4 linked regions of the Arabidopsis thaliana genome follow. The protein of the gene in region 4 interacts with the protein of the main gene of each other region in a biochemical or structural test. Each region holds a gene or a part of one and is shown on either strand. Other genes may lie near its edges. The genes, in order: FER, ROPGEF11, SPK1 and ROP2.

What was found.
Region 1: the proteins of ROP2 (region 4) and FER form a complex in vitro, tested with the Arabidopsis thaliana proteins (one study listed by BioGRID).
Region 2: the proteins of ROP2 (region 4) and ROPGEF11 form a complex in vitro, tested with the Arabidopsis thaliana proteins (one study listed by BioGRID).
Region 3: the proteins of ROP2 (region 4) and SPK1 form a complex in vitro, tested with the Arabidopsis thaliana proteins (one study listed by BioGRID).

The regions. Positions count from the first base shown.
Region 1 is NC_003074.8:19,117,059-19,122,651, forward strand, and holds FER (Malectin/receptor-like protein kinase family protein), read right to left. Parts: upstream 3,892-5,593; 5' UTR 3,722-3,891; intron 3,547-3,721; 5' UTR 3,507-3,546; coding exon 819-3,506; 3' UTR 526-818; downstream 1-525. Other genes in the region: AT3G51540 (mucin-5AC-like protein), read left to right, coding at 1-152; AT3G51560 (Disease resistance protein (TIR-NBS-LRR class) family), read right to left, coding at 4,750-5,370, 5,457-5,593. UniProt on the Arabidopsis thaliana protein: Receptor-like protein kinase that mediates the female control of male gamete delivery during fertilization, including growth cessation of compatible pollen tubes ensuring a reproductive isolation barriers, by regulating MLO7 subcellular polarization upon pollen tube perception in the female gametophyte synergids.
Region 2 is NC_003070.9:19,454,995-19,460,027, forward strand, and holds ROPGEF11 (rop guanine nucleotide exchange factor-like protein), read right to left. Parts: upstream 3,076-5,033; 5' UTR 2,885-3,075; coding exon 2,575-2,884; intron 2,454-2,574; coding exon 2,337-2,453; intron 2,244-2,336; coding exon 2,014-2,243; intron 1,926-2,013; coding exon 1,662-1,925; intron 1,575-1,661; coding exon 1,254-1,574; intron 1,162-1,253; coding exon 772-1,161; 3' UTR 515-771; downstream 1-514. Other genes in the region: PSAH2 (photosystem I subunit H2), read left to right, coding at 1-38, 132-258, 335-514; AT1G52245 (dynein light chain LC6, flagellar outer arm-like protein), read right to left, coding at 3,850-3,996, 4,104-4,241. UniProt on the Arabidopsis thaliana protein: Guanine-nucleotide exchange factor (GEF) that acts as an activator of Rop (Rho of plants) GTPases by promoting the exchange of GDP for GTP.
Region 3 is NC_003075.7:9,238,603-9,243,485, forward strand, and holds the start of SPK1 (guanyl-nucleotide exchange factors;GTPase binding;GTP binding protein), read right to left. Parts: upstream 3,028-4,883; 5' UTR 2,995-3,027; intron 2,798-2,994; 5' UTR 2,459-2,797; coding exon 2,381-2,458; intron 2,305-2,380; coding exon 2,142-2,304; intron 2,062-2,141; coding exon 1,970-2,061; intron 1,878-1,969; coding exon 1,765-1,877; intron 1,675-1,764; coding exon 1,619-1,674; intron 1,526-1,618; coding exon 1,428-1,525; intron 1,299-1,427; coding exon 1,161-1,298; intron 919-1,160; coding exon 607-918; intron 1-606. Other genes in the region: CBL6 (calcineurin B-like protein 6), read right to left, coding at 3,903-3,978, 4,057-4,169, 4,261-4,394, 4,476-4,584, 4,656-4,715, 4,800-4,870. UniProt on the Arabidopsis thaliana protein: Guanine nucleotide exchange factor (GEF) for Rho and Rac. GEF proteins activate small GTPases by exchanging bound GDP for free GTP. Controls actin polymerization via the two heteromeric complexes WAVE and actin-related protein (ARP) 2/3.
Region 4 is NC_003070.9:6,964,895-6,969,542, reverse strand, and holds ROP2 (RHO-related protein from plants 2), read right to left. Parts: upstream 2,702-4,648; 5' UTR 2,321-2,701; coding exon 2,225-2,320; intron 1,927-2,224; coding exon 1,839-1,926; intron 1,754-1,838; coding exon 1,644-1,753; intron 1,563-1,643; coding exon 1,499-1,562; intron 1,351-1,498; coding exon 1,286-1,350; intron 1,204-1,285; coding exon 1,138-1,203; intron 1,039-1,137; coding exon 940-1,038; 3' UTR 534-939; downstream 1-533. Other genes in the region: AT1G20100 (DNA ligase-like protein), read left to right, coding at 1-229; SYTB (Calcium-dependent lipid-binding (CaLB domain) family protein), read right to left, coding at 4,631-4,648. UniProt on the Arabidopsis thaliana protein: Inactive GDP-bound Rho GTPases reside in the cytosol, are found in a complex with Rho GDP-dissociation inhibitors (Rho GDIs), and are released from the GDI protein in order to translocate to membranes upon activation.

The sequences.
Region 1 (5,593 bases), on a different chromosome or scaffold from region 4:
ACAAGAACGATAGTGCTCGTTACGACGCACTCTTGAATGTTAAAGATGTCAAGGATACAAACTGGCTACTTAACATTGATGATGAATCTCCTCAATCTCTCATCTTCGACAATGCTTTTGACTCTCCTCCTGATCTATTCTCTCCTCTCTGAGACTCTGACTCCTTTTGAGTTTTCTTTCCTGTTTGTTGTAGTTAAAAACAAGAGAGCTGCTTGGAAAAATAATCCTGTTTCACTCTTTTTAAATTCTTATGCAATCAAGAGAAAAACATTACACATAGTTCTTCTACTCGTTGTTTTTTTCTTTCAAAGTGTTTGTTTGTATTGATCAGCAGAAATATACAACTTTGACCCTTCTTGTTTAAATCAAAATATTTGCAAGAAAAGACACTATTGGTAGGATTCCGTTAAAATGCGTCTATATAGTAAAACAGAGAAGTGATTGATGTACTTCCGTTTATGTTCATAAGAGTACGACTTTGTAATAAATGGGTACTAGTTTGTTCATAAGAGTACGACGTGTAATAGAGTAAAGATGCAACAATTACCAAAAACGTTATAGATAACAAACCAAATAGTACATTGACGCGATTCATGTTTAATGTTTTTGTAGAAAGAAGAAAAAAAAATACATTATTTTTTACACTCTCCATCGTGGCATCAAATACACAAATCCAAAATTCTAAATAAATAACAGCAAAGAGAATAATAATAAATAGTTAAGAGGAAAAAAAATATAAAAAAGAGAAACGAACCGGTCTCCTTTGGATGGAGCCGGTTTAGAAAGGTAGTAGTGTTGTACCGTGTTATAAGACTTCTCTAACGTCCCTTTGGATTCATGATCTGAGAAAACACAGCACTTGGAGTGAGTCCATCTGAATCTTCGCTGGCCAAACTCCTACCACCGATGCTCATATCTATTCCACTGCTCCTCGAGTCCGTCACATTCCCTTCATACACATCAGAACTCTTGTCGTTCTTTCCTTTACAGTTTCCATCATCGTACTTAATCTCATCCATGTCCATGTCACCGCATACTCCTTTTCCGTTCTCTTCTGCGCTTTCCTGGAGCTGCAACGCAAATTCTAAGTTCCACAGAACATCTCCCATTGATGGTCTCTCAATGCCCTGGTCTAGAACACACTTCATCGCGGTTTCAGCAAACTTTTTGAAGCATTCTGGTGTGATCTTGCCCTTGAGGTAGGGATCAACGATTTGATCTAGCATGCCTTTCTTGTAGCAGTATGGTGCCCACTCAGCTAAGCTCACTTGTTCCTTTGCAAGTGTTGGGTTCAAGGCTGGACGAGCGCATAGAGCTTCGAATAGAACAACGCCAAAGGAGTAGACATCGGATTTCTCAGTCAGTTGCTGCCGTCTGAAATACTCTGGGTCAAGATAACCGAAACTTCCTTTCACAACTGTGCTTACGTGTGTGTGGTCTAGTGTAGGACCAGTCTTCGATAGACCAAAATCAGAGACCTTGGCCACCCATTTCTCATCCAATAGAATGTTTGTTGTCTTCACATCTCTATGGATGATTGTGTGTTTTGCACCAGTGTGTAGATAGTGTAAACCTCGGGCTGCTCCAATGCATATCTCAAGACGTTGCTTCCATGGAAGAGAAGGATTCTGGGTTTTGTAGAGATGCTCCCTCATTGTACCATGAGCCATGTAATCATAGACTAAGATCATTTCGCAGTTCTCTTCACAGTATCCAATCAAGGACACAAGATGACGATGTCTAAGCTTTGAAAGCATTTCAATCTCAGTCTGGAACTCATGTACACCTTGCTCGGACATTGGGTTGCCTCTCTTGATGGCTACCTTTGTAGTTCCGCCATCAATCTCTCCTCTGTAAACCTTGCCGAAACCACCAACACCAAGCACCCGGGACTCATCAAAGTTTTTAGTGGCAGCTTTGATCTCAGCAAACGAGAAGTGACGGCAAAGATTTGACGGAAGGGACGAGGCATAACTTCCTGTTGTGTTTGTCTTCGCCGAGCCAGCAGAATGTGAGTTTCCATACAGAGATAGTGGAAGCCACCCTGATGTTGCATCACTAGCAGGCTGGTAATCACCACGCTTACGTCTGCGGTAAGCACCAAACACACAAAACCCAATGATAAGGGCCAGAACAACTGCACCACTGGCTGCGCCTGCAATAATAGCCGTATTGCTTTTCGATTTCCTAGTAGTCGGGCGTAGGACTTTAGATGGATCAGCAGTCACCTGTGGACCAGGTATAGGATTGGTACCAGCCAGATTACCATCAGAAGTATTCATCTTGAATATCTCCACTCCATTAAGAAGAGAATCATAATACTCCGGCTTGTTAACTGGGTTAGGATGAAGAGCAAGCCACAAATCTTGCTGTCCATTTCCCTCTGGAGGATTCACCACGTAATCCTTGTGAAACGGAACCCCGTTTGAACTAGTCCAAGCAATCACATCAGCTTCAGGCTCAGCAGTTTGATTGTTGAGGTAGATTGTAAACACCCGTTGGTTGATCTTAGTGATATTCGAAGAAACCTCACAGAAATGAAGTCTAACAAGGTAAGTGAAACCAGAGTCAATGCTGAAAATCCAAGTAAGATTGTAGTTGAGATTGATCTGAGCTGTTGGACCCATAGACCTCGCGGTTGAATAAACATCCACAGGAGCAACATAAGTAGGAGTCCCCGTAGGATACTTAATCGTCATGTTGGGATCAGCAGTCTCTGGAATACCAAGTCCTGCACCAAATATATAAGGCTGATCATCATACCACGACCTATACAAACCCGTATCCGCGGAAGGCGAGATATCATTCCCTCCAACATTGAGCCTATACACATTCTCAAGAGCAGTACTGTTATCAATAGTAACAGAGCCAGATGATCCAACCATAGTCAAAGTCCCATCAGTACTACTATACATATCAGGCATTGAAGTAACCTCAATCCCATTAACAAACGCATACGCATTAGACGGAGCTGATTCCGGTGTAAACGTCATGTTCAACGTTCCACCTTCAACGTTGACAACAAACTCCTTGATGATGAAAGCGTAAGTCAACGCCTCCGCCGTCTGAGAAGCACTGAAATTCTTGAGAAGAGTGTAAGGACCAAAGGAGACGGAGAATAACGAGTTGGTAGCGTTGAGACCGTCGTACGAGTTTGGGTAGAAGTAGAGACGCACGAATTTACGACCTGATGCTACAGGGAAAGTGTAAGTGAAAGGAGATCGGAAAACTCTCGCCGTCATGTAAGGAACTTCGGGAACGGAAGGATCTTGTGTTAACGCTGGTGATGTTTTAGAGTCTTCAGAGGAAGATGATAAGAATTTTGATTTGACATCGGAGATCCATATACGGTTATCTGTGTCGGTTAGATTAGAAGCACCACCACCGCAATTCAATAGGATTTTCTCTGTTGGAGAGTAATCAGCAGCTGAGATTAAAGTTGCTGCAGATATGAGAAGAAGAAGAAGAAGAAGAGAGAGACGGAATCGTCCCTCTGTGATCTTCATCGATCAAGAGCACTTCTCCGGGAAGATCTTCTTCTCAGATCTATCAAACGAAAGAAAATCGAAACTATAAACTTCACAGATCTAAAAATGGAAAGTGCTAGAGGTACATGTTCGTTTGGTTACGAAAATTGAGCTTAAGAAACAGATGAAATTGAAGTTTGAATACAGTAGTAAGGGAGAGTGAAGTGAGGAAGATGATGATGATGATTACATACCTGAAGAATCGGGGAAGAAACCCTAAGCGATGAAATCGGAGAGAGTTTTTGGAGAAGACAGAGATATTTTGGGGGAGAGAGAGAGAAAATCAATTAATGAGTGGAGAGGTAAGTATAGTCAAGACGACGACAAAACGGACAAGCATTGTTGCTTCCCTCTACGCGTTAACGTTATTTTAATTTCAATAAGATTAAATTAAGATATAGTTATCGGGTTTAATTAATTGAAGCCGGCTTGAAGGTGGGTGAAGTGACGATAATGACCTTTGAGTATCAACAGCTGGAATTATATATGTCTTGACCATTCGAAGGATAATGTTGATTGGTATGGTTTGGATGACAGTTCATAAAATGTGAGAGAGTAAATCCATTAAACTAAAGAAAAGACAAGAGAATTTTATGAAACGCGTATTTTTGTGTGCGGTGGTGACTGCTCGTGGCTGAGCTGGTACTCTATATTATACTATAAAGGGAAAGAATGGGGCCTGCTTTGATAATAACTCGTTAGTTAGTTAGGATAGTTTACGTAATCATGGGCTTTTTACTCTGATTTCAGTTTATCTCCTATGGCCCAGTTATAAGTGGGCCTTATCTAACGTGCACATGATATATGTTTATGACAATCGGCGTAGCCTCCTTTTGATCGATCATGTCTAAGGTAAGGAGTAACCTTGATCTCCGATGTCAAATCCAAGTAACCTTGAATACAAATAAACCGTGGTTAAGGCCGAACGTGTGCAATTTTTTTGGTCTACACCTTCTTGATTCAAAACAGAGTTTGTGATCCTTGTTTTCTCAGTCTTTCAAAATAAAATAAAACTTTAAACCATTACATCAAACATGCACTAAATATTTACATTAACATATCATTAATTCTCTTTCAGACAACACATTTTTTTTTGTTTATGCCAATTTTAAATAATAAAAATTACATTTCAAACATACATGTTTCTGCTACTTCGCATTTGGGCACGCATGAGACGAGTCACATACATACACTCTTCCCAGTTCCCACTCTTAACTTTTCTTCACTCTAGGCAAACACAACCACCAAACCTACCAACTCGCTTAAATCGAAGCTTACCAATCACACTTGAAAGCTTCGGAGAATGATTCTTACTTAAACTCATATCCTTACTTGCATTTGTTACACTCAGACTCGCCGCACCAGTTGCAGCTGTTATAACACAAACATCACATTCTGTCACCATGCAATTACCGCCTAAGACCTTGTTTCTTCCATTTACTGCTTGGAATTCAAATTCAACGTGATCAGCCATTATATTTGGTTTGTTTCCCTCACCACCACCTCGATGCATTTCGGCATCCTCATAAAACACAAACATGTGATCCCTTTGAACCTCAGGAGCTTCTCTCGGAGCCCAACACCTAAACACTTTCTCTGCTTTACCAGTGACCACCCTTTTCTTTGTCTTCCATCTGCTTACGCACCTAACGCCAAGCCCAGCGTTGTTGTGACTATCATCCGAAAACGATACTACAACGAAGATAGCAAACCCCAAGAGTGTCTTTCGCAGGGAAGGAGTTATCTCTATCGTTGCAAATGAACCTGCCCGCAAATTATAAGAGGTTGCCTGATCTGCTCCTGCAGGCCCGCAAATGCTGAATGCAAGTGCTTTGATGAGTTCCTGGTCCCAACAAGAAAAAGGAAAATTACATATACGCTAAAGTATGTATGAGTGAGAAAGAAGGGACATGAGAACGAGAGAGTTACCTGCTGATGTTCGTTGCCAATGCTTGCTACTTTAGCCAGGCCTTTTACAACTCGTTTTCTAGCCACTTTTGGAGACTTATTGAAGCAATCGCTGAAGGTGTAATGACTAGGAAACTGCTCAAATCCCCAAGAAACTG
Region 2 (5,033 bases), about 12 Mb from region 4:
AAACCTTCTCGCCAAAGCTTCAAAACCAAATCCACCAGGTAAAGTTTAAAGCTTTGAAATTTGGAATCTTGGATTGACATTGATGAGGATTGGTATTAAAGAAAGGATGTTACTTTTGATTGTTTGTGTAGAGCTGGTGCTGTGGTGGCTAAGTATGGAGACAAAAGTGTATACTTTGATTTAGAAGATTTGGGTAACACAACAGGACAATGGGATGTGTATGGATCTGATGCTCCTTCTCCTTATAACCCACTTCAGGTTTTTGTACACTCTTAAATCTTTAGATCTATATGCTTCTTCAAATTCTAAGACTTTGTGATTATGTTGCTTGCAGAGCAAGTTCTTTGAGACATTTGCTGCTCCTTTCACAAAGAGAGGTTTGCTTCTCAAATTTTTGATTCTTGGAGGAGGCTCTTTGCTTACATATGTTAGTGCGAACTCTACCGGCGATGTTCTTCCGATTAAGAGAGGTCCTCAAGAGCCACCTAAGCTCGGTCCTCGCGGCAAGCTTTAAATTAGCTTTCTAAAATCTTTCAAAAAGTCAGAAACTTTCTCCCCAATTCTATGAACCCTATTTATGTATATTGTACTGTGTTGTGTTAATTGCTTTGTAAGCTAGTGATTCTGAAAATCAGTTATGATGAATCAATGAAATTGCATTTCAAGTCTGCTACAACACACAATGGTGCATTTTGTGGAATCTTTAAGCAGATTGAAAATGCAGTAAGAAGCCCTAATTTAACAAGAACGGAAAAAAGAAACCGGTTTCTCTCAGGAGTATCTTGCGGTTGGACTCCTCATAGCTCCAAGATTATCAAGATAAGAACTCTTCTTGTTGTTAGTCATTATACCTGTGACTTTCGACAACAACGGTTTCTCTCTATCTCCGAAAAAGCTTTCTTTCTTCATTTCATTGTTTTTGTTACCCCATTGCATAACATCAGAAAGTGTTCCTGAAGCCATATCCTCTGTGAAACTTAGTCTTTCCTCTCTTAGTTTCTCATTCTCCTTCAAGCTATATCTGTTCTTAGAAGGTGCATTATTTGTAGGTTCTTGAGTAAGCTGATCAGCGTAAAGCACGTCTTCTATTCTCGACATCACGGTGTGAGCTAAACTCTCAAGCACTCTTGAATAACTCTCCAATATCGCAAGTCCTACATCCTGCAACAACAATTATCCAATAATGAGATTTTCTCATGACCATAGAGAAAACACAATCAAAATGTATTTGGAAGTTAAGAGTTTTAAATTACTCTGTTGAATTGAATCTTGCTGATATCGAGCGAGGACTGTGAGATTCCGGGAAACCCTTGTTTTAATAGTAGCAAGATGGTTTCAGCTCTTTCTTCAAACTGTTCTCTTTTCTCAATACTCACTGTTGATCCCCAAGGAGACTTTGTGTCCTTCTGCACCATTTTCCTCTTCCATATCACAATCGATGCTTCGATTCTGTTCTTTAGATCAAGAATCTTGTGCTCAGATGATAAATCCATTTCAATTAGGAATTGATCTGCATCAAACATCTCTACTGTTATCATTCTGTATATCACATCTCCCAAGCTAGCTCTCCCATTCTGTTCTCAACAACACACGAAAACATCGATAAGGACTAGATCAATAACAGATTCTTGATGAATGTTTTTATGTGTTTATTAAATAACCTTAGGAAGTGACTCAAGGTAGCTTTCAGGAATCTCCATTTCAGACAGAACTTGAGCGTTTATCGCCATTGCAGCTTTAAGGACTTGATTCACACATTCCTTCTGGCTCTGTAGAAACCTTCTTGATATCTCTGAGAGGCCGTTAGGTGGGACTTTTACTGCCGGTAACCACCATTTCTCATCGTTCCTTGTCTCGCAAGAATCAGGAGAATCTTTTTTAACATAATAAAACTCATCCTGATCCTTGAATTTATCAAGACAATCCTGCAAGAGAATGATTATAAATGTGAGATTAATTATTTAACAGCCTTTGATTAGTATATTTTGTGCTGTTGTTGTTTGTTCTTCTTACGAGAAGCATAGCATCGAGTTTCTTAAGTGCAGGGATGTTACAGAGAAGATCTGTTCTTTGTCTTGTTGACATGACTTCCATTGAAGTACCATCTTTGTTTGTTTGTTGTGTTGGAGCGAATTCAACTATATAATCAGCCACAGAGATAAGCCATCCAATTTCTCTCCTCCAACGCGTTTTTCTATCCACCGCCATTGGCTCTAAACGCCGTTGTTCTCCAAACGCAGACGCTGCAACAACAAAAAAATTACAGAACTTAACATCAAATTGGTGATAAAATTGAAAATTTCCATGGAACTGAAAGATTTGGGAAAAGATCTTACCTGCGAGATTGGTAATGGCGTTAGATAAAGCCAAAGCCGATGAAACACCTTTTCCTCCTCCTGACATATCTTCTCCAAGAAGCAATTTCGAAAATTTCTCTTTCATTTGCTCCATTGCTGTAATAACAACAACATATACTTTAGTTTTTGCCCTAACTTATAATCCAAGATTAGTACTTTGCCCCTAACTTGCAATCCAAGAAACCTAGAAGATATGAGCCAGTTCATTAGATTTTACCTGCTTGCAATATTATTAGTGCCTCCATGGAATCCGATGAAGAGACTCTCGGAAGCTTGTCATTGCGATTAGGCGTTACTCCGCCTATAGGCAAAGAAGGTCGGTCAACGCTGCCACATTTTCCGGGTTGACTCCTAAACATCATCATGTCATTATCATCATCATCCAAATTGTCAGAACCATCCATTCTCATTGCACAATCTGAGCTCCAGCTTTTAACATGTCTTGAAGCTGAGTTTTCGTTCATGTTCTTGAAATGAAACAATCTTGATTTGTAAGTCTCTTGTTCTTGCTCCATTGCTTTTACCATTAATTACTAGTTAATCAAAACAATAAAAAAAATGAAAAGATTTCTATGATTTGAAAATTCTTTTTAATCTCCATTTGTTCTCCTCTTCGTGTAATAAAGAGGAGTTTTAGGAGATCATGAAGAAAAAACAAACTTAATTAACCAAAAAACGGTGTTTGATTTTAATTTCAGACTTAGCAAATACAGAACACCATCATTTGACTTCTGTTAATGGTTTTAGTTTTAACCTGATTATTTTAGTAACTATTATGATTCGTTGTCCATAACCATAAACAAGTAGTGAATTTGGTCAGATTCTTCAGGGGAAAAAAATAAGAGGATATTTTTAATTTTCTTGAAATGTTTTACTATTTATAAATTGATACTTGGTGGAATGTGGGCTGCACGTTATTTGAAAGTTGAATTTCTCCACACACATAAAAAAAATCTCAATCTTTTTCTTTAAATCAAACATTGAGATGTAGGGAGGACATGTTACTGACATTATCTGTAATATCATTTTTGTTTATGTCTTGTTGTATTAAAAAAATCTCAGTTTCTCAACTAAATTAAGGATTATGGATGATAATGTTTTCCTCAATTTTGACCTCTCTCTGAATTTCTATCAAAGTAAAAGTTTAAAATAAATTTATATTATGCTAATGATAGATTAGTCTAAGTCAGTCTAAGAAATTCTCTATTTGTGGCTGGGCAATTATAATTGTTTGCATCTCAACTAAAAGAATATAAATATAAAAAATCTTCTGCATTTCACTTTTATTGATCACAAAAGCAAACACTTGTAAAAATGAAAAATCTTACATCATTGAAATCAACTTCCTCTCTTAGCTTGGGCCTATTTACAAACTTAGAATTCAAACAAAGCTAAAGATCTTGATAGTCTTAGCAAGATTTTTTTTTCTCAGATTTTCATAGAAGCAAAAGAAAAAGGAAAAAAAAACATCCCCATGATTAGGGTAGTGTAATTAAGGAGTAGAAGCGCCTTTAAAGATGAGGAACTTAAGTGTCTCCAATTGAAAATAGATAAAAGTCCCTTTAGAATGTGTGAAGAAACACCCAAAATTTGATCCCACCACACATTGCCATCCACTCCCATATCTCTCATCAAACTCCTGAAAATTCATTATAGAACAAACAAAATTAACCAAGTAGTTATATATAGATGATAATGATGTATTTATGACTTATAAATAGAATTGAAGAAAATCATTACTAATACCTTCTTGATGTGACCAGCAATGGATTTACAGTCAAAGACATCAAAAAGGTCAAGAGCTTGAGAAGCAAATGCCATAGCTTGCATCTGCATCTTCACTGGCATGTCTGAATCTTCCACCATTGCTTTGCCTTCCAACATCTTTCTCTATCTCTCTCTCTCTCAATAACTCCAAACGTTTTTCAATTTTTTTGATGAGAACTAAAGACAAGGGAAGCTTTGGATCTTTATAGGCTCCTAAAAGACACAAAATGAAAAAAAGATTCCTTCAATATCTAATCTTTATCAAGAAAACCCATACAAAGATAAATAATGTCTCCTCTTTGAGGAAAAATATGGGAAAATGTGCCTAACCTTTTTCTTTGTCGTCTTCTCTTCACTGGGATTACTTCCTCACGGGTTCTTGGATTCAAAGTCTTTTCAAGAAGAAATGTACGTATAAGCATTCAAAAGAATGGCACGAACGAACACAACTGTTCTTTAAATTTAGTCAAAACGTTGATAATTTCAAGATGACAAAGCTGATCAAAGAAACAAAGTTGATAATTTGAAGACTAAAAAAAGGAACAAGACAGTTAAGAAAAAGTATAATAAAATAAGGTGTAATGACTCATTTGAGCAGATATATGTGTCTCTCTCTTACGTGTGTCCAAGTATTTTTTGTCTTTGACGTTTAATGGATAACGATGGAGAGGTGCATAATTAATTAGTTAAATAGCTAACATGTGAAAGAAAAAAAATGTAATTAGCTAAGCCTTCCACAAAACTCGTAAATATGTCGGTGTAACAGTTGGGATTTATAAGCCCATTAAGAAGGTTTAGGACCCATTGATCTAGCTAGCAACCTATGCTAGTTCTTGAAGAATTCTCAACTTTTTAATGCAAATGGTGTGTTTAATCTTTTTATGCCCATTGGAGTTTTGGATAGAAAAC
Region 3 (4,883 bases), on a different chromosome or scaffold from region 4:
TAGCACATTAGGAGATTCCGTATGTCCAACTGATCAAGACAGTTTAAAGAGATTTTAGATATGTATTTCCTCCAGATAAAAGCAGCAATATACAGTAAGATGTTATATCAATAAAAAGCATTCCAGTTATTTGTCTGATGACGTTACCAAACACGATTCAGATCTGAATTTTTTTGTGTGAGTAAAAGAAGAGAGAGCTCGGAAATCTTGTTTTCTTGTGATGTATTTAGTAATATACTTATAACTAACTACACTTCAGAAGGGAAAACAGAAATGAAGAACTTCTATTCCTCAAAACTTATGAATTAAACACCATGACCTAATTGTCAAATGCTACCAAAATTGATTCATTCAAATAGAAAACAAAAAAAAACTGTTATCAATTAAATACAGAAGTATTTTGTCAATCGACTGTGCATGCAACTCTACTTGCTTAGATACATATCCAGTTCAGGAAAACCCAACCAAAGTGTACCTAGCAAGTAGGATTTTCAAATTGAACAAAATCTATGAAAAATGTTCCACACCATGTGAAGTTCAAAGCACTGTAAATACAATCATAAAGAACATGGTAAAAACTGTGGGATTTGATAAGAAACATCCTACCTGAATGGACTCTTCAGAGTAGCTCTCTTTAACTTTATTTAAATTAGATATTTCAACTACGACAGAACTTCCACCTGAATAACCTTGCTTTCCATCTGATGTGATCTTTGCAATTGGTTCATAAACACCATCATGGGAACTTGACGCAGTCATACTAGGAGCAAGAGGACTGCTAGGGGAAGCAGATTCACCAGTGTTTGTGGTGAGATTATTATCAAAAAGCGGAACAACTGCCCAAGCAAAAGACTCTCGGTAAGGCATAATGCGAGACCAGACCTGCAACTTTTGCTTTTCCCTCTCAGTTAAGTGCACCTGATTCACATAAATAGGGTAATTACTAATTGTTATATCAAGATCCAGCTATCACCATGACTACTCTAAAATATATATCAAAACAAAGAGTAAAGACAGATGATATATGCCATTATAAGTCACAGGCTATCTCCAAGTTACTCCAAATAAATGTTGAAAGACACAATCTCTAAGACCAAGGCATTCACATGAGCAAGAGACTCTAGAGACAGTAAGGGAAAATTCAGGATTTTGGAAATTACAGGCTCTTTACGGGAATAGACAGATGATGTAACGCCTCCTTCCTCAGTTGCTGTTTTTTCTAATTGAATAAGCAGGCAAACTGATGCTGATGGGGCATCTAGATAAAATACTCCACGATTTTCAGATGAAAGTTTAGCCTGCAAGAAAATGTACAAGGGGCGGCAATTTCGCAAAAATGACGTGAGAAAAAACTGAAATCACCTTTTATATAATCATGAGAAGGGAAGAGGCAAAAAGAGGACAGTTGGCTCTAATCAGTTACTTACATCCTGCATTTCCGTCGGCTGAATCTGGAAATAAAAATCCTCAGAGAGTTTCTCCTTCCTCTCTTGATTGTACAATGCAATCGAGCCAAAAAATGGTTCTGCAGGGATGCAAGAGAAATAAAGAAGGAACTTAAAGAAGTTGAAATAACTAAAATTACAGAAAATAGACAGCAGTTAGTCAGAATCCTCACCAACTAAGCCAGACTGAAAAGCTAGAGACAAAACTCTGACAGAGATCTTCAATCCACTGTGAAGATAATAAAGAGGAACAGAAGTACAAATCAGACAAAGATAATAAGATCAGGTAAAGCATAGTGACATGCAAAAAAAAAAAAACCTGGAATAGCTAGCTGCAGGAGATTCAGGAGTTCTCTGACCAAAAATCATAGCTCTTTCATTTTCCCAGTCAAAAGCTGGTTCATAAGCAGGTAAAGGAGGTTGCCCAAAATGCTGAAAAAAAAAAAAAAAAGCAACACCTTCAAAGTAAGAACCAAAGGATGAGAAATATATAACAGAGCAATGAAGTGAGTAAAAGAAGACACCTTAGAGGATCCAGGATCAGAAAACGGCCTCCCGGAAATACTGGCAACATCCTCCTCAATAGTTGCACTCCTGGCACTAGCAAGACGAATCTCTGAAGAAGCAGAGAGTTAATTGATGTACAATAATTGACAAAAGCAAAAAAAATAAAAATAAACAATGCATCATAGTTACCAGTCTCAGTATCAGTATCAGGTCCTTCAAAAATCTGAGTCTGGAAAGAATCAGGTCGAATATTTTCATAGTGACCGTATTTGTTAACATCTTTAACCCATTCAGTGCCATAACATTGAACCAATTGATTCAAATGTGGCCATTGTTCCAGATTCTCATCAAGCTGAAACAAAAGAGAAGAAACACATTAACGAAAAGAGAGAGAAAACGCGAATAAAGGTTGAGGAGAGTTTAATTACCAAAGGATCGAGCTTAGGGAGAGCAAGAGGCTGACGAGGTAGCTTACGAAATCGAAGACCAAGATTGTTGTTCTCCATTGAGATAGATCTAATACAATGTGAGGTACTACTACGCCATTAGAGAGAATTGGGGATTTGTGAAAACCTAGAAATGGGAAAAGGACATTGTTGGAGTAGTAAGTAGATCTGAGTGGGGGAGCTAAAGGAGGAGAGGAGGATGAATCTTTGTCTTTACGCAGAGAGGAAGAGATCCGTGAGAGGAAGCAGTTGGGAGAAAAAGTGAAGATTACTCAAGAGGAAAGCAAAAGTCGAGCTGGAGCTGTAAGTCCAACAAGAGTCCAACTCTACTGTCCCTTTTTTCTTTTTAAATAACAAAAGAGTCAATCATTGGGACGACCAAAGACGATGATACCTCACCTGAACCAACTTAAAGAATTGGAGTAAGTAGTAACCATTTTCACCAAAAGTCATTCCAATTCTCATTATACCAAACAAAATGGAATTAGAAAGTATACGGCTAAAGAATTTAGTTGTCACACTTTATTGAAATTAGGATTGTTGATTTGTTTCTACGGATTCATGTTGAGATAAACCGTAAACGAGTTCATAGTTACCTTTGGTATCTATGAATCGGTGAATCCCAATCTTTAGCCATTGTTTCAGAGTTGTTGCCATTATAGTCTACCATTGCGGCCTTTTTATATATCATTCATGTTAGCATTAGGGTTATAATTTCTAAAAATTGATCACCTCTTTAACTTGTGCCTAGAATGTTAGGCAGACCCAGCCAAAAAATTAAGTGGGTGAAAAAACGTTACACTGGTTAACATAATTATTGGGCTTCGTGGCTTCTCTCTCGTTGACGGAGAACTTAACGGTGTGTGATTCCAAGTCGGATTAGAACCTCCGTTATATATCAATGGGAGTTTTGGCCGCTTGTTGCTGTTGAGTTGTGTTGTCTTTGATTGAAACGACGGCGTATACGTCCATTTTGTCCGTGACATATTCGATATGGTTGACGTCACTAGCTGATACAATTTTGAGCTCAAGAGTTGGGTTCTCCACGGCTCTTTGCAACTGTGATGAAGATATTTTCGAGAGATCTAGTATTGTTTGTTCTAATCTTGGGAAAATGTCCAAGTATACAATGATCTATGAGATTCAAGTTAACCAGTTTCTCATTCACATGAATCTTTCCTTTCTCATGTTAAAACTATCTCGCCATTTGGGTTCCCTGTAAAATATGGTTGTCCGGATTTTACTCCAACTAACAAATTTAGATAGAAAGAAAGAAGAAGCAACAAAATAAAACTAATGCCGAGTAAAAGAATCAATTTGCACACTCCAACAGATAAGATAAACCGAACAAGTTTGCGGATACACAAACATGTGAGGTAATGCTGCTTTCAGAACGTATTTATTAAAAATAAAGAGGAGGGTTGTAATAGAGTAATGGAGAAGAAGATAAGAATCAAGTATGAATGATCTTGTAAAGGGTTTTGGTCTTTCTTCACATCCCTGATCATCCATCCAGCTCACTAGGAGTGTCTGTCACTATAGTGTGAAATACAAAATTTGGAAACGTCTTTGTTACGTCTCTACACAAAACACAACATACAAAAACATGTTAGTCCCGCACGAAGAAGATAATAAGGCAAATAACATGGCTAGCTTACTTGAGATGTTGAAGGCTCATGTTCTGTAACAGAGAGGGGTGGCGCAACACAAGACTCCTCCACTCTTCCTTATCAATCTTCCCGTCCAGTTTAGTATCAGCTTCTTCAAATGTCTACACACACCAATCAGTTTTTACATCTCTTGTCAAAGATTAAATATGAGAATCCTAGTTAGTGTCAATGGAGGAGATCAACCAAACCCACCTTGTCTATGATGCTCTCAATCACATGATCAGAAAGGTTCATGCCAGATTCAGCTAGAGTCCGCACAACCATTTGCTTCACCTCCTGTCTCTTTATATAACCTTGCTGATTCAGATCATACAGCTTGAAAGAGACTGCAGAGACAAAAGATGAGCTTGATCCAAGGTTTGGATATGACAAAAAAAAAGAAGGTCAAGTCTCTCTCGACCACTTACACTCAATCTTATCCTCAAATTTAGCATTAGGGTGAAAGACCGAAAGTGAACGAGCAAAGGCTTCAAAATCTAGAATCCCAGTATTCTTGGTATCAAACAAGTCAAACACCTGCAAAGCTTGAAGTATGAGTGTACAGCAAGGAAACTCATATAAGTGAGTTACAAGTCTATCTAATTTACCCTATCAGCAAAAAGGCTTCTCGTTGTGTTCATTTTGAATAGTACCAATTGAAATTGTTCCTGCAATATATTTGAAAGGATCCTAGTGAATGTAGAGGAACAGAGAGATATAGTACTCGTGTCCGACTATGGATTCTTGCATACCTTGTCGATAAGCCCGTTTTTGCTAATGCTCTTGAACAGTTCGTAAAGAGCTTCAATCTCATTCACTGTAACTGCATTTGGTAC
Region 4 (4,648 bases):
TGAATTAGTTCCTCCCTGTATTTCCTTGGAGGAAGATGATAGCAGCAGCGATGACTGGCTTTTTGGAACAAGTCGGAAAGAAAATGTTTCTTCTGCCAAGTCTTCTTATAAGACTGATGAAGACACGATCATGAGCTTGCAGACGTCAAGAGATTGTTCCTCTTTGCCTAGAGCTATGTTATTGTCTGAAGTTGGAATTTTTTCATTACCATATACTGTCCCGTTTTAGGTCCCATATTGTTTTGTTCTTTCTCAGCTTAGCCTTAGGCCTTAGCTTTGTACAGTTATCATTGTAACAATCACAGTGATCTATGATACTTGAACGATCTCTGTATTTTTGACACTAATCAAAAATCATGGTTTCCACTTACTAAACTATCGTCTACATGATTTTTGTCAACTGGAAGTTTTTGGTTGAATTGATCAATGCGATTGCAAAAGCTGGCTACTTTTAAATAAGCAATTTCTTGCAAGAAGTTGACTGGTTTAGCCGTTCCCCAGTTTAACTTCTTGCTTAGGCAGCTGGAGAAAGATCTCTTTAAGCATGATGCTTGGTAAGATCACATGAATATACATCTTGTGGGAAAGAAGCAGAAAACAAGAGCTCTTAAAAACAAAATAAACGTTGCAAATATTAATTAGATTCATTTGTTAATACAAAATGATCCTCAAGAACAAAAGAGAAGAGAGACAGAGATTAGTCTACATAGCAAGAGTACAACACACGGTCTCTTAGTCTGTGGACTCGAAAGATTCACCAGCAAAGAGTAAAAGACACAACAACAACAAAGCTCGTTTTAGCAACTATACAAAAAAGCTACTAGAAATGTCTCCCTTCACGTCGAAATTATCATATTAAAATGGGCCGAATCAAATAGTTGAAATCATCTTCTGCTTCTTTCTTTAGTTGGTTTTACCTAGTCTTAGAGGTTTTTCTTATCACAAGAACGCGCAACGGTTCTTATTCTTTTTCTTCTTCTTCTGCTTTGGTGGCTGAAGCACCACTTTTATAGCTGCATCAAACACTGCCTTCACGTTCTGCAGAAACACCAAAAGGAAAGAAATAAAGCTCACCCTCTTGATAAGATCAAATATTGCAAACAGTGAGGAACAGGACAAGCGATTTGTTATGTATACCTGCTGTGTCTTTGAACTACATTCAATGTAGACAGCAGATCCAATCAGTTTCTTCAGTTCCTCTCCCTGCATCATTCAAAACAACATCAGACAATTCTATTAAGAACTGGCAATCATTGCAAGACTATTCGTTTAAAAGGATATGTACCTGGTTTGTAGTAATTGGCACAGCACCAGGATGATCTATAAAGAATTGCTTGTCATCTCGAAGATCTGCAGCAAATACCAGTGACTTAACAATCAAATTTTGCAAGAAAACTTAACAACTTCGTTGGTGTCACAAGGCTTGTAGGAACGTAACCACAGATCTTTCAGTCAAAAAAATAGCATGATCAGTTCAATAGGGAAAGTGTGTGATTACCGAGTTTTGTCCCAACAAGGATAATGGGAACACCAGGAGCATAATGCCTGAGCTCAGGAATCCACTGAGAGAGGAGGAACGAAATCAAATAAGATCACTCATCAACACAAACTGTATAGGATTTATCAGCAAAAGAGAGACAAACCTTCTTGGCTATATTCTCATAGCTAGCCTTGCTAATAAGAGAGAAAGCAAGAATGAAAACATCAGCACCACGGTAACTCAAAGGTCGTAACCTGTTGTAGTCCTCTTGACCTGTTAACAAACCCCACAAACACAAACTAAGTCAAAAACAACCGAAACAAAAGGAAAATCCCAAACGGTGAAACGAAAGAATTACCAGCAGTATCCCACAATCCAAGATTGACAGTGTTGCCATCAACAACCACATTAGCACTGAAGTTGTCGAAAACAGTTGGCACATAATCCTGAAACACCAATCACAAGTCACAGATTTACACCTTATAATCAAAATCATCCTTTATAAAAAGCAAAAACAAAACACAGTAGCTTCAAGATCAATACTTTGGCCTAGATTCTCAAAGTCTTAAAACAAAAAAAGTTGTAACGAAATTGATCAATTTCTAGTATACAGCTCCATGACCTAAAATCTACACCTGAATCCAATTTGCAAAAACCTTGCAGATCACTAATCTACTCTTGCAACGAGCTCAACAAAAAAATAAGAAACCGAAGAGATATTGAAATAGGAGAGGAAAGATTTACAGTAGGAAAAGTATTGCTAGTGTAAGAAATGAGCATGCAAGTTTTTCCGACGGCACCATCTCCGACGGTCACACACTTTATAAACCTTGACGCCATCTCTGCCGCAAGATCGGAAACAAACAAAAAAGCCCTTAAAATCAATCCTCTTTTGTGGTTGCTTCTTCCTCAAAACCTCGACATTTCTAGCTCGCCAATCAAATTCGAGCTCTAAAAGCTTGTGAATCTGAGAATCACCCAAATTCGAAAAAGAATCGAAGAGAGAAGGAAAAGAAGAAGAAGAAGGTTGATTTGGCGGTTGATAGATGACTTTGAGAGGAGCCTATAGGAGGAGGGGACTAGTAGAAAAACAACAACTCTGAGACAGCTAAGAGAACAGCACCAAACACCTCCTTATCATATACACTCACTCCCCTTTTATTTATATTATACTTTTTATTTTCACCTCTATTTTTCTTTTTTCAAAATTTTGAAAGTCTCTTTTCTTTTATGTCACGGATTTTGAATTTTGAAATGGAGAAGATCTGTCAGTTTTTTTTAAACAACAAGAAAAATACAATTGTCATGAATGTTTTTGTATTATCTCTTTGGTTTCTCAACAGTTTTTAAATGTTTTTAATAATATATTTCGTTTAACACTTTTTTATTGTGATACATATTTTCATTGTTGTTTTGAGTTAAAATTGTCTCTTAAATTTGGACTAAATCATTGACATGAAGCCTAGAGAAATCTTAGTAAGGTAATATTTTGAACTATCATATATTGTCTGAACAATGCAAGTTTCAAAATCCTAGTGTGTTGTGTCTTTGGACTTGCACTGCCACTTTGATTCTTACTGGCATGAGACTTATCCAGTTTTGAGCAGTTTTCCATAACATTCTTTTTGTTCACAACTTTATTAAAACATAGCTAACGAAGTTTTGATTATCAATATTAGCAGTAAACGAAGTCGCTTATCTGTCTAATCCTCTTGGTACCTACCAAAACAAGATAAGAATTCCATAGAAGTTTATCATTTCACCAAAACAACAACTAAAAGTTGTTATCTTACTTAGTTTAACCATGTATCGATTATTTTACAAATAGTAATTGGTAAAATATTATACCGTCTCAAAACTATAGATTTTCTTCAAATAAAAACTTTCTTTAGCTAGCGAATTTGAATCCGCATATCCAGTTATAAGACTCCCATTCACAACATCTTCTACAACTGCCAGTTCTCTCGTATGTAATGTATCAAGGGAGGTAAATTCAAATGATCTAAGATAGACTTTATAGTATAGCAAAAAAAAAAAAAAAATGGCATACGAGAGAGACTTAAGCAAAATACGAAGAGGCATGAATGAAATCTTTAATCATTGGATTTGGCAACTCTCACTCATCAAGAACGTGCCGGCACGATTCATAAATGTCTTATTTATGATGTTTTTACTTATTTTCTCTTTTCGATTCCCCTCGGATTACGAAACATAGGCGACTAGAGTCCAATGGGACGTGCCCAACTCTAACTAAATCAATCCACTAACGATCCACCACGTCACTGATTGTCCCATCACCTAATCATAATCACACCAGACGGTAGCTTCTTATAATTATTTGTCAAACTTGATGAATTAGTAGCTAATTGCCATCATGTGTTATTTTCAACTTTTTCATTCCATAAGACTATATATATATATATATATTGCTGACCAAAAAAGAAATTGCTTATATTGATTATATGCTTACTGAGTTTAATAATGAAAATTAGAAATGTAATAAAGTTATCCACAAATATTTATCAAATGACCGTGATAAATCGTACAAAATTATGTGTTAATTTAACCACTCATAATTTTTTTAATAAACATTTATCATGTGGATTTGGATTTAAATAATCACATTCAATGATAGTAGCACAAACCACTAAATTGTACACGAAAAGTATGAATTAACCAAATCATGATATCAAAGAAGTTAAGCTTAGTAGCTTACCAACTATTCAGTATTCACCAACCAGTGACCAATCTCTCTTTATTAACTAACTTCACTTCTTTTCTGTTCAAAAATCTTTTTTCCTTTTTGATAGAATAATTCAATTACTGACCAGAATTCTCTAAGAAATAGATGAAAAAGACAATCCATAATCACTATTGCCATAATCCAATAAGCTGCAAAATAATTCAGAAACGACAAAAAAAACTATCAGAAAATGTCACAAGAAATAAACCAAAAGGTCCAAACAATAAAATCCATATGAACTATAAGGCTTATACGTGGCCCATTATACTGTGTAACCCATTATTCTTCGAATCGAGCCATAGCAACCAACATGCAACAAATATAGAAGTTTTACGTACATAGGAAGGAAGGCAAACAAAAAGTGTTGTTTCGTGAACCCTAAGAGAAGAAAACACGAACCTTTGAAGTCAAGAAGAATTTCTCCA